3 linked regions of the Oryctolagus cuniculus genome follow. The protein of the gene in region 1 interacts with the protein of each later gene in a biochemical or structural test. Links are inferred from orthologs where the notes say so. Each region holds a gene or a part of one and is shown on either strand. Other genes may lie near its edges.

The links.
Region 2: the proteins of NUP214 (region 1) and NXF1 form a complex in vitro, tested with the Homo sapiens proteins (4 studies listed by BioGRID and IntAct). The link is inferred for Oryctolagus cuniculus from reciprocal best matches to the Homo sapiens genes NUP214 and NXF1.
Region 3: the proteins of NUP214 (region 1) and ATP-dependent RNA helicase DDX19B are reported together in a solved structure, tested with the Homo sapiens proteins (2 studies listed by IntAct, with this or other methods). The link is inferred for Oryctolagus cuniculus from reciprocal best matches to the Homo sapiens genes NUP214 and DDX19B.

Annotation. Positions count from the first base shown.
Region 1 is NC_091432.1:233,660,823-233,665,051, forward strand, and holds the start of NUP214 (nuclear pore complex protein Nup214), read left to right. Parts: upstream 1-1,420; 5' UTR 1,421-1,508; coding exon 1,509-1,553; intron 1,554-4,229. UniProt on the Homo sapiens protein: Part of the nuclear pore complex. Has a critical role in nucleocytoplasmic transport.
Region 2 is NC_091432.1:8,792,409-8,795,923, forward strand, and holds part of NXF1 (nuclear RNA export factor 1), read left to right. Parts: intron 1-1,472; coding exon 1,473-1,556; intron 1,557-1,669; coding exon 1,670-1,774; intron 1,775-1,865; coding exon 1,866-1,946; intron 1,947-2,059; coding exon 2,060-2,129; intron 2,130-2,268; coding exon 2,269-2,357; intron 2,358-2,477; coding exon 2,478-2,585; intron 2,586-2,749; coding exon 2,750-2,859; intron 2,860-3,515.
Region 3 is NC_091449.1:56,898,329-56,901,843, reverse strand, and holds part of ATP-dependent RNA helicase DDX19B, read left to right. Parts: intron 1-406; exon of another isoform or gene 407-480; intron 481-986; coding exon 987-1,035; intron 1,036-2,962; coding exon 2,963-3,016; intron 3,017-3,515. UniProt on the Homo sapiens protein: ATP-dependent RNA helicase involved in mRNA export from the nucleus.

The DNA.
Region 1 (4,229 bases):
GCTTGTGCGCGTGAGTGCCGACGGCGTGCCCGTGTGCCAGGCGGAGCTCCCGTTACACCTCACAGGCCCCCCCCCCCCCAAAGAGAAGCAGGCTGGGAGCAGACGAGCAATTTACTGGACACCAAGTGGCCGGACAGGCCCTGCCTGGGTCCCACCTACGGACAATTCCACAACAAATGGTTCCGGGGACGACTGGGCTGCGTTGCCAGCGCATCCAGACACAACCCGAATTCTTTTTTTCTTTTTTAAATATTTACTTATTTATCTGAGTTACACAGAGAGAGGAGAGGCAGAGAGAGAGGTCTTCTATCCGATGGTTCACTCCCCAATTGTCCACAACGGCTTGAGCTACGCCGATCAGAAGCCAGGAGCCTCCTCTGGTCCTCCCCGTGGGTTCAGGGGCACAAGCACTTTGTCTTCCACTGCTCTTCCAAGCACATTAACAGGAAGCTGGATCGGAAGTGGAACAGCCGGGACTCGAACCAGCGCCGCAGGCGGTGGCTTTACCGGCTATGCCGCAGCCCAGGCCCCAACAACCCGAATTCTCATCCTGCCTCCGCCACTCTGTGATGACACTGGTAACTCTGTGCTTCTCTCTCGTCATCCATCAAGTGACGACAATACCCCTGGGGGACTGGCGGCCAGGGCGGGTTAAGGCCAGCATCCCGCACCCAGGGTCCGGCTCGGAGTCCCGGACGCAGCTCCCCGCTAATGCGCCCGGCCAGCGGCGGAAGGTGGCCCGAACGCTTGGGCCCCCGCACCCACGAGCGGGACGCGGATGGAGTCAGGTTCCTGCTCCCGGCCTTGGCCAGGGGTTGTGGCCACCTGGAGCGTGACCCAGCCGAGGGGAGATGTCTCGCGCTGCTACTCTGCGTCTCAGCTAATTTATTTAAAAGGGGAGCGCACCCAGCGTTTTGCGCAAAGGCGGCGCACATTCCTTAGTGACCCAAAGTGGCGAAGAGAACGGCTCCGGCTCTAGCACCCGTTACCCTTGGGTGACCTCTAACCTCCCTCTCCGCCCTAGGGTCTCGAGGGGCAGGGCCGCCCCACACCCACTTTCTGCGCCTACTGCCCCGCCCCCTTGAAAACGCAAGGAAGCTACTACTAGCCACCCACATGTAAAAGTTCCTCCGAGACCTCACGGGAACAAAAGCGCATGGCGCTCAGACGCCCCGCTAACCAGACGCTACCACCAAGAAGCCCGCGCAAACCGCGAACGCCGGGCGCACCCAGAGCGCAGGCGCGCGGATCCTCATGCCCCACCCCCTTTTGAGTCGACCAATGAGGGGCGGCGTCCGGGCGAGCGCGCGACTTCAGGCGATCCCGCGGCCTTCCTCGACCGCATCGCGAACCGGGACGTGAGACGGCAGCAAAGCGCGCCGGAAGTGCGTCATCTGCTGCGCGCCGCTGGCGCGGAGGGAAGGAAATTGGCTTCGGAGCCGCCTGGGCTCTGTGGGGAAGGCCGCGGGCGGCAGCTGCAGCTTTGTAGACAAGCTGAGGGCGTCACGATGGGAGACGAGATGGATGCCATGATTCCCGAGCGGGAGATGAAGGTCAGAAACTGGCCGGGGCCGCCCTCCTTGCCTTAGTCCCGGCGTTGCCTCCGCGGCCCTAGCCCAGAACGGCGAGGCTCGGATGCCGGCTACCCCGCCTCCTGCGTGAGCAGCTGACCGCGTTCCGAGTTCTCGGCGCGCCCACGAGCGCTCTGCTGTGCGGTCGGCCTGATGGCCCCTCCGGGCGCGGTTCCGCCGTGCCGTGTCGGTCTTGTGCAGCTGCTTCTGTGGCGGTGACTTTATTGAGCGCTTGCTGTGTGCCGGGCACCGTGGTAATCTCCAGTAGTTAGGGTACAGGAGCAGGTCGAGGCTGGGGGAGTGATGTTCCCGAAGGCCCAGGGTAGCGCGGGGTCAGGTGGCCAGGGCCTGCCTGCCGTAGAGCCGGGGGACATCGTCCTAGGGAGTGCGCTCGGAGGACTGAAACCAGCCTGAAGTCTGGGCACTGAGGGGCGGGCCGAGTGGTCCGAGCGATGGGAGCCCCCCAGGAACAGCTCTCAGCGTGGCGCACCCCGCAGTTTCCACGTGCGTCCTGACAGAACGAGGATACAGAGCGCGAGCTACGGGTATTTCAGACAGCCGAGGGGGAGCAAGTAGCAGGAAGCTTTTAGCCCTGTGAACAGCAAGTCCCTGGAATGCACTTAGGGGAGAGAGAGTCTTCCATCCGCCGGTTCACTCCCCACATGGCCGCAGTGGCCGGAGCTGCGCCGATCCGGAGCCAGGAGCTTCCTCCAGGTCTCCCACGTGGGTGCAGGGGCCCAAGGACGTGGGCATCCTCCACTGCTTTCCCAGGCCACAGCAGAGAGCTGGGTGGGAAGTGGAGCAGCGGGGACTTGAACCGGCGCCCGTACGGGATGCCGGCGCTGCAGGCGGCTGCTTTACCCCAGGTTTGGCCCCGACTGTTTTCTTATTTCGCTCACACTAATGAACATCGTAGCACCACAGCTGGGACGGTTCTGCATCTCGGGGTTCTGTTTGTTTTTGCTGCACTGAAATTGAGCCTGCTGCAGTACAATGATGGATATGATTTCGTTTTCCCTGAGTTGGTTCTCGTTTTGAACTCTCCTGTGCTCCTGATCCTGACCCACTACGCACATGTCACCGAGACCCAAAGAGGTACTGGAGATGATCCAGTTGAGAATTACTGGGCCGGCGCTGCGGCACAGCGGGTGAAGCAGCCGCCTGCAGTGCCGGCATCCCACATGGGCGCTGGTTCAAGTCCCGGCTGCTCCAGCTCCCATCCAGCTCCCTGTTAATGTGCTTGGAAAGTCTCGGAGGGTGGCCCAAGGCCTTGGGCCCCTCCCTCCCCTGTGGGAGATCTGGAAGAAGCTCCTGGCTCCTGGCTTCAGCCTGGCCCAGCCTTGACTGTTGCGGCCATCTGGAGAGTGAACCAGTGGATGGAAGACCTCTCTCTGTCTCTCAGTGTCTATCCTGTCTAACTGCCTTTTGAATAAATGAAAGAAAAAAAAAAACAAAGATAAGAATTACAAAAAAGACTGAAAAACTTACTCTCCTGTATGAAACCATAATACAGGCTTACCTGGAAAACTGAATTTTTGCTACTGTAAATCAGTTGGGATTAAAAGTATGAGGGTCTCCAGAAATTTCATGAAAAACAGTTATGAAAAAACTGCATGGATTTTGAAATTTCTTTTGGACTAAAATCTTTTAGTTCTTTTTTCCATGAACTTTGTGAAGTCCTCATATTTGCCTTCTAGCAAATATGTATAAACATCAAACTTAGTCTGTGGGCTGTGTTAAGAATCCTGTATGAAACAACACTAGGAATCTAGTGTGGGGCTGGCGCTGTGGCACAGCAGTAAAGCCACTGCATGTGAAGCCAGCATCCCATATGGGCGCCAGTTCATGTCCCGGCTGCTCCATTTCCTATCCAGCTCCCTGCTATGGCCTGGGAAAAACAGGAAGATGGCCCAAGTCCTTGGGCCCCTGCACCCACCTGGGAGACTGGAAGAAGCTCCTGGCTCCTGGCTTAGGCCTGGCCCAGCCCTGGCTGTTGTAGCCGTCTGGGGAGTGAACCAGCAGATGGAAGACCTCGCTTTTTCTGTCACGCCTTCTCTCTAACTCTGACTTTAAAACAAACAAATAAACAAATCTTAAAAAAAAGAATCTAATGTAGAAGAACGAAGCCCAGGAAAACTCTTTGGCTTTCATATTTTTGGGAACACCAGCGCAGAGTGGATTCGCATTTTTTTTTCCCCCGTTTTGTGTGTTTAATGACACCTGGCCGTGCGCTTCTGCAGTGGGGACAGCTGCTCCCCTGCCGCTTCTTGGTCTCAGATTCTCCTCATACTTGCTGAGCTGGCGGTGCACGGCGCGTGTCCAGGGGTCGCAGGTCCAGGGGCTCCTACTTGCCCTTGTGGAATTTCCTGAGGTTCTTCTGGGTGTGGTTCATGACGGTGAGAACACGGGGATGGCTTTGGAGAGCTTGGACGCCGCGCACCTGTCACTTTGGTGACCTGCGGGTCCTCCGCTGTTTCAGCAGTGTCGCCTTCTTGCCTCGAAGGTCCCGAGCCTTGATCTCGGCCGTGACTGCACAAGCCCCACCCCTGCCGCTGCTCTCAGGGAAAGAGGAAGAGAAGGGCTGACCTCCGCAACTGCTTCCGGGTGGCCCTCATTCTTTTCTCTAAACTCTGACCTGAAGATAGGTTTAGAGTTGAA
Region 2 (3,515 bases), about 220 Mb from region 1:
GTGCTTGGGCCCTGCACCCCATGGGAGACCAGGAAAAGCACCTGGCTCCTGGCTCCTGCCATCGGATCAGCACGGTGCGCCGGCCGCGGCGGCCATTGGAGGGTGAACCAACGGCAAAGGAAGACCTTTCTCTCTGTCTCTCTCTCTCTCACTGTCCACTCTGCCTGTCAAAAAAAAAAAAAATCTTAAAACTTAGATCAAGCAACTTATTGTTTTGAAGAATAAGAAGTGTGTAAGTAGACAGAAAAGAGGTTAAGGAATCCATATGTCTCAAGTGAAAACCCTATGATTGGTTCTTTTCTTTAGAAAAACTTTTTTTTTTAAAGATTTATTTTTTTTTTAAGATTTATTTTAGTTATTTGAAAGACAGAGTTACAGAGAGAGGTAGAGACAGAGAGGTTCTTCTGTCTGCTGGTTCACTCCCCAGATGGCCGCAATAGCCGGAGCTATGCCATTCGGAAGCCAGGAGCTTCTTCCTGGTCTCCCACATGGGTTCAGGGGCTCAAGCACTTTGGCCGTCTTCCACTGCTTTCCCAGGCCATAGCAGAGAGCTGGATCGGAAGTGGGAGCAGCCGGGACTAGAACTAGTGCCCCTATGGGATGCCGGCGCCTCAGGCCAGGGCTTTAACTAAACGCTGTGCCACAGTGCCGGCGCCCCCACCTTTTTTTTTTTTTTTTTTTTTTTTTTTTTTTTTTTTTTGGACAGGCAGAGTGGACAGTGAGAGAGAGAGACAGAGAGAAAGGTCTTCCTTTGCCGTTGGTTCACCCTCCAATGGCCGCCGCGGCCGGCGCGCTGCGGCCGGCGCACCGCGCTGATCCGATGGCAGGAGCCAGGAGCCAGGTGCTTTTCCTGGTCTCCCATGGGGTGCAGGGCCCAAGCACCTGGGCCATCCTCCGCTGCACTCCCTGGCCACAGCAGAGGGCTGGCCTGGAAGAGGGGCAACCGGGACAGAATCCGGCACCCCGACCGGGACTAGAACCCGGTGTGCCGGCGCCGCTAGGCGGAGGATTAGCCTAGTGAGCCGCAGCGCCGGCCTTTTTTTTTTTTTTTTTTTTTTTTTTAATTCAAAGGCAGATTTACAGAGAAGCAGAGAAAGAGAGAGAGGTCTTCCATCCACTGGTTCACTCTCCAAATGGCCGCAATGGCTGGAGTTGTGCCTATCTAAAGCTAGGAGCCAGGAGCTTCTTCCGGGTCTCCCATGTGGTTGTAGGGGCCCAAGGACTTGGGCCATCTTCTACTGCTTTCCCAGGTCATAGCAGAGAGCCGAATTGGAAGTGGAGCAGCCAGGACTTGAACCGGCACCCTTATGGGATGCTGGCACTGCAGGCTGTGGCTTTACCCACTACACCGTGCCAGCCCCTAAAAAAACTTTTAAGGTTTGGCAGAAAGTACATAAGGAATGCCATATGGGGTGTGCTGTTCAGTCTTAGTTGTATAGAATTTCCATCTTTTCTCCTTTTCTCATTTCTAGATTCCTCATGGCAGAAAGTATGACAAGTCATGGCTCCTGAACATGATTCAGAGCAAGTGCAGTGTCCCATTCACTCCCATTGAGGTAAAGCAGGGCTTGAGTGGCCAACTAGCTGGGCACCACGGAGGGCAGAGGGGTCATCTGGACAAGGGGTTCTGGTCTTTGAGATTAAGTAATGCTCTTGTCTCTTCTTACAGTTTCACTATGAGAACACACGGGCTCAGTTTTTTGTCGAGGATGCCAGTACTGCCTCTGCGTTGAAGGCGATCAACTATAAAATTCTGGATAGGGAGAACAAGAGGGTATGTTAAAGAGCTTGGTTGGACTGGAGGTGGGGATTGGTCCTTGGGCTGTTTTCCCTGGCGTTTACTCTGCCCTTTGTCCTCCCTCCAGATATCCATCTTCATCAACTCCTCTACCCCACCCCTCACTGTGCAGAGTGAACTGAAGCCAGAACAAGTAGAGCAGCTGAAGGTAGGGCTGGCTCAGGTTACGTGTGCTTGCAGCCCAGTCTTCCCACTTCGCATGCCCCAGCCCCATACCCACCGTCCCTGTGATGGCCGAACTCTTCCCTGGTTCCTCTGTAGGTGATCATGAGCAAACGCTATGACGGCTCTCAGCAAGCACTGGATCTCAAGGGCCTGCGTTCAGACCCAGGTACGGCTGGCAGCAGTAACTCAGACAGGTCACGTAAGGGGGCTCTGTCAGGGAGGGAATGTTGAAGAATGATTAGTGCTGCCGCTGGCCTGGGCAAGTCCTCTCAGATTTTTCTTGCTTTCTTTTCTGCTTCCTGAAGATTTGTTGGCCCAGAATATCGATGTTGTACTGAATCGTAGAAGCTGTATGGCAGCTGCCTTGCGAATCATTGAAGAGAATATTCCAGAGGTGAGGCCTTTGGACCAGTATCAGGCGTGGGAAGCAGCGAGGGATCGATGGCATGGGGTCAGCGACAGACTTGCCTCTGATCTACTCACTAGCAGCACTAAACTCTTTTCTCCCTTATAGCTCTTGTCCTTGAATTTGAGTGACAATAGGCTGTTCAGACTGGATGACATGTCCACCTTGGTACAGAAGGCACCCAACCTAAAGATCCTAAACCTCTCCGGGAATGAAGTAAGAATTGACGGGCTGGCTGTGCTTTTGATGGGGTGGCCAGAGGACATAGTGGGCTTGCCCGGTGATGGCGACAGGCAAGAGATGAGAGTCGGGATGGGAGGTGTGAAGTCCAACTGATGTCTCACCAGGTTCTCTCCTCCCTCTTTTCCCATCTTTTGCAGTTGAAGTCTGAGCGAGAATTAGACAAGATAAAAGGGCTGAAGCTAGAAGAGCTGTGGCTTGATGGAAATCCCTTGTGTGACACCTTCCGAGACCAGTCCACCTACATCAGGTCAGTTGTGGCCTCTGTCTTCCCTCCTGGGGACCTTCACCCCCTGGGAGGCTGAGCTAATGCACCCTGACCAGTGCCCGTCTGCAGGAGATGTGCAGCCCTGAGCTGGAACCACCTGTCCTTTGGGAGGATCACGTGCTCCTCTCTCGTCTGTCCATGTCTCCCAGCCTTGCCCTGAGATCCCCTGTCCTTTGCTTTTCACCTGACCGCCTGTTTGCTGGTTCTTTGGCCTTTCTCCTTCCTCCCTGAACGCAGCCTTTTCTGGAACTTGCCCACCCTATTGTTCCAGGAAGGACATTTCCCCTTTGTGCTCTGACTAGGAGATGTCTCTTATGTGCCCCATAAATGGGGTTGCCTTGGGCCTAGAGCCTGGTGTCCTTGGGCTGAGAAAGCCCTCCCCACTTGGAACTTCCTGCTAAGACAACTTTCTCTTCCTTTGTCCTGTGATGGCCCCTCTTGCCTTTGTGCCAAGAGGGACCCTTTCTCATAATCCAGTTGCCTAAGGCTGTTGCCTGGGCTTTCCGGCACATGCTGAGGTTGAGGCCTCATGGGGGCTGGTGCCCTGCAATCTCTCTGCCTGGTGCTGTGAGCTGGGCCCTCCCTGGAGAAGAAACCTGGGTTCCCCAAGACATGTGACCAGAGCTGTGGTCTCGCCA
Region 3 (3,515 bases), on another chromosome or scaffold:
GGCCAGCTCTCTGCTGTGGCCCGGGAGTGCGGTGGAGGATGGCCCAAGTGCTTGGGCCCTGCACCCCATGGGAGACCAGGAAAAGCTTGGCTCCTGCCTTTGGATCAGCATGGTGTGCCGGCCGCGGCGGCCATTGGAGGGTGAACCAACGGCAAAGGGAGACCTTTCTCTCTGTCTCTCTCTCTCTCACTGTCAAAAAAAAAAAAGCAGAGCAGCTGGGATGCAGTTATCTGTTTAAGCTTCATGTACTATGTCTCAATGCCTGCCCCAGGATAGTTGCATTCTTACAGGGGAGAGAGGAGTCCTGCCAGGAGATCCCTAATTCCCATTGTTTGATCTAAGTCCTAAGAATCCTTTCTTTGAAATGCCTCTCTGATCTATCTCTTCCTTTCTATCCCGACTTCAGCCTGGTGAGTATTGTGATTACACAGTGATCCTCGGGGCTGTTTCCAGTTAAGAGTATGAGACACGAAGCATAAGGTGACTTAGATGTTGGCTGTGTGTCAGCATGCTGTGTGCCGTGGCTTCAACAAGTCCTGCACTGTACTGCTTCCCTCCTGCGGGTGCTGTCAGTGCAGTGCTCCCTCCTTGGCTGTGTCTGCAGTGTGACTGCATTCTTTGGGATATCTTCAGTGTCCTCTTGTTTGGACTGTGAGGGAGTGACAACTCTAACAATGATATTCCCCTGAGAGTCTTTGTAATCAGGAGTTAAGCAAACTCATCAATTATAATTCTCTCTAGGGGTTATAATTAGGAAGAATGGATTTTAAGCGGCTCAGTAATCATTTTTTCTTACTACATTTATGGGCATTTTTGTTTATTTTCATTCAGTCATTTGGCAAACAAAAGGAACCCAGAATAGCAACCTAAGAATCAGTCTTGAGAGAGGGGCTGTTTTCTCCCTGTTTCTTGGGAAGCCTCTGTTGACTTTAACATCTTGTAAGTGACTCTCCTGACACTTTCCTCCCTCCATATTCTCCATTTAGTTGAGCAACTTGCATCTTAAGGACGAGAAAATCAAACCGGATGCCAATGGTGAGTAAAAGCTAGTTTGAAAACAAATGCTATTTCCTTGAGTATTTCTGTTTGGGCATAACAACTGCCTAGAAAAAAAAAAAAAACTGTATTTGTACCAGAGGACTGGCAGATACTGGCAGTCTTTCCATTTGGGAATTAACAAACTAGATTGTAATCACAAAGTGCTTATTATAAGAATGAGCCTACCTAATTGGTTTATAAACTATTAAATTTATTCCAGACTTTGGCACTATATTGCCAACTATTATTTGTTACTTTTTAAAATGTTCATCAGTTTGGAATGATTATGAGTAACCTGAGAGTTTACCTATTCTAATTATCTAAAATCATATCAAAATCTATCAAAATATATCAAAAGTCTAGGCTCAACACCAAATTTTTGTTGATGTATTTAATATTACAGGGGAGAAATCTGGCATTTACCCTACTCTGAATTCACATAATACTTTTCCATCACTATAACTTGTTTTTAAGTTTCTACTAATTAGCAGTTTATACACCTAGAATTTTAATGGCATTGTGTGATTTGCATAGATACTCCACTGTTGAGCATCAAGGTGGTTTCTTTTTTTTTTTTTTTTTTTTTTTTTTTTTGACAGGCAGAGTGGACAGTGAGAGAGAGAGACAGAGAGAAAGGTCTTCCTTTGCCGTTGGTTCACCCTCCAATGGCCGCCGCTGCAGCCGGCGCACCGTGCTGATCCGATGGCAGGAGCCAGGATCCAGGTGCTTTTCCTGGTCTCCCATGGGGTGCAGGGCCCAAGCACCTGGGCCATCCTCCACTGCACTCCCTGGCCATAGCAGAGAGCTGGCCTGGAAGAGGGGCAACCGGGACAGAATCCGGCGCCCCGACCGGGACTAGAACCCGGTGTGCCGGCGCCGCAAGGTGGAGGATTAGCCTATTGAGCCACGGCGCCGGCTGTTTCTGATCATTGACTTAATAATCATCTTTCTGTAATACTTTGGAGATATTGATACTATGAGAGAACTAAATGTTAGATTTTGAAGTAACGTGGGAGGACCTGGAATAGAAAATAATTGAGGCCGGCGCCGCAGCTCACTAGGCTAATCCTCCACCTTGTGGTGCCGGCACACCGGGTTCTAGTCCCGGTCGGGGCGCTGGATTCTGTCCCGGTTGCCCCTCTTCCAGGCCAGCTCTCTGCTGTGGCCAGGGAGTGCAGTGGAGGATGGCCCAAGTCCTTGGGCCCTGCACCCCATGGGAGACCAGGATAAGTACCTGGCTCCTGCCATCGGATCGGTGCGGTGCGCTGGTTGCAGCCCGCCGGCCATGGCAGCCATTGGAGGGTGAACCAATGGCAAAGGAAGACCTTTCTCTCTGTCTCTCTCTCTCACTGTCCAATCTGCCTGTCAAAAAAAAAAAAAAAAAAAAAAAAAAAAAAAAGAAAAAATAATTGAAATTGAAGCAACAGTGTTTCATACCTTAGCTGATTTAGAAACTTTGAAATTTTTTTAATCAGTGTCTGGGTTTCCTAACTAATTTTTTTTCTCCAGGGCTTTACATTTATAGTGTAATAGATTTTTTTAAAGATGTATTTATTTATTTGAAAGGCAGAGATACAGAGAGAGTAGGGGAGAGAGTTGGAGAGAAGGAGAGAACCATCCACTGGTTCACTCCCCACTGGGTTAGGCCAAAGCCAGGAGCGTCTTCTGTGTCTCCTACACAGGTGCAGGGACCTAAATGCTTGGGCCAGCTTCTGCTGCTTTCCCAGGCCTGTTATCAAGGAGCTGGAAGCAGGACAAGTGGGACTCGAACTGGTACCCAAATGAGATGCCGGCACTGCAGGCAGAGGCTTAGCCTATTAACGCCACGGCACTGGCCCCGGCCCCTAGTGTCAGAATTTGAATTGCCACAGCTGTTGATTATGGGATATGGTTTTGATTGATGGTCATTTTGTGTCTCATAAAGGTGCTGTTGTCAAGACCAATGCTAATACAGAGAACACAGATGAAGAAGAAAAAGGTAACACAGTCATAGAGCTTATAAATGAAGTTCTAAGAAAATGGATTGTTAGGGAGGCTTCATTTTTATATCCAACTTGACTTCAGCAGGAGTTACAGTGCTGCTATAAAGGTTCAACAGTCAATTAGTGAAGAAATTCTAATAATTTACATTTTAGACAAATTTTTACATTGAACATTGATGAACTTCAGGCAGTAAATTCCCTGAATGATTTTCTCATATGGAGTGTTTTAAAAGGAATTTTAGGTTGTATCCTCATTGTCTAGTGAAGTTAAACACAGTGGCATCTTGACACATTTAATGTGAATGACAAACTGTGAAAAACTTATACCATATCAAGATACAGACTGTTATTTCCAGTTTTCATTGTTGGCATGCACTTGTTAACAATAAATTTATACTGCATGCAAACTAGGGGAATAAATATTTGGGACTAGAGGAACAGACACCCTCAGGAAAGGAGGGTTGTTAAAATATTCACAGGGTCCTGTGTCGTGTG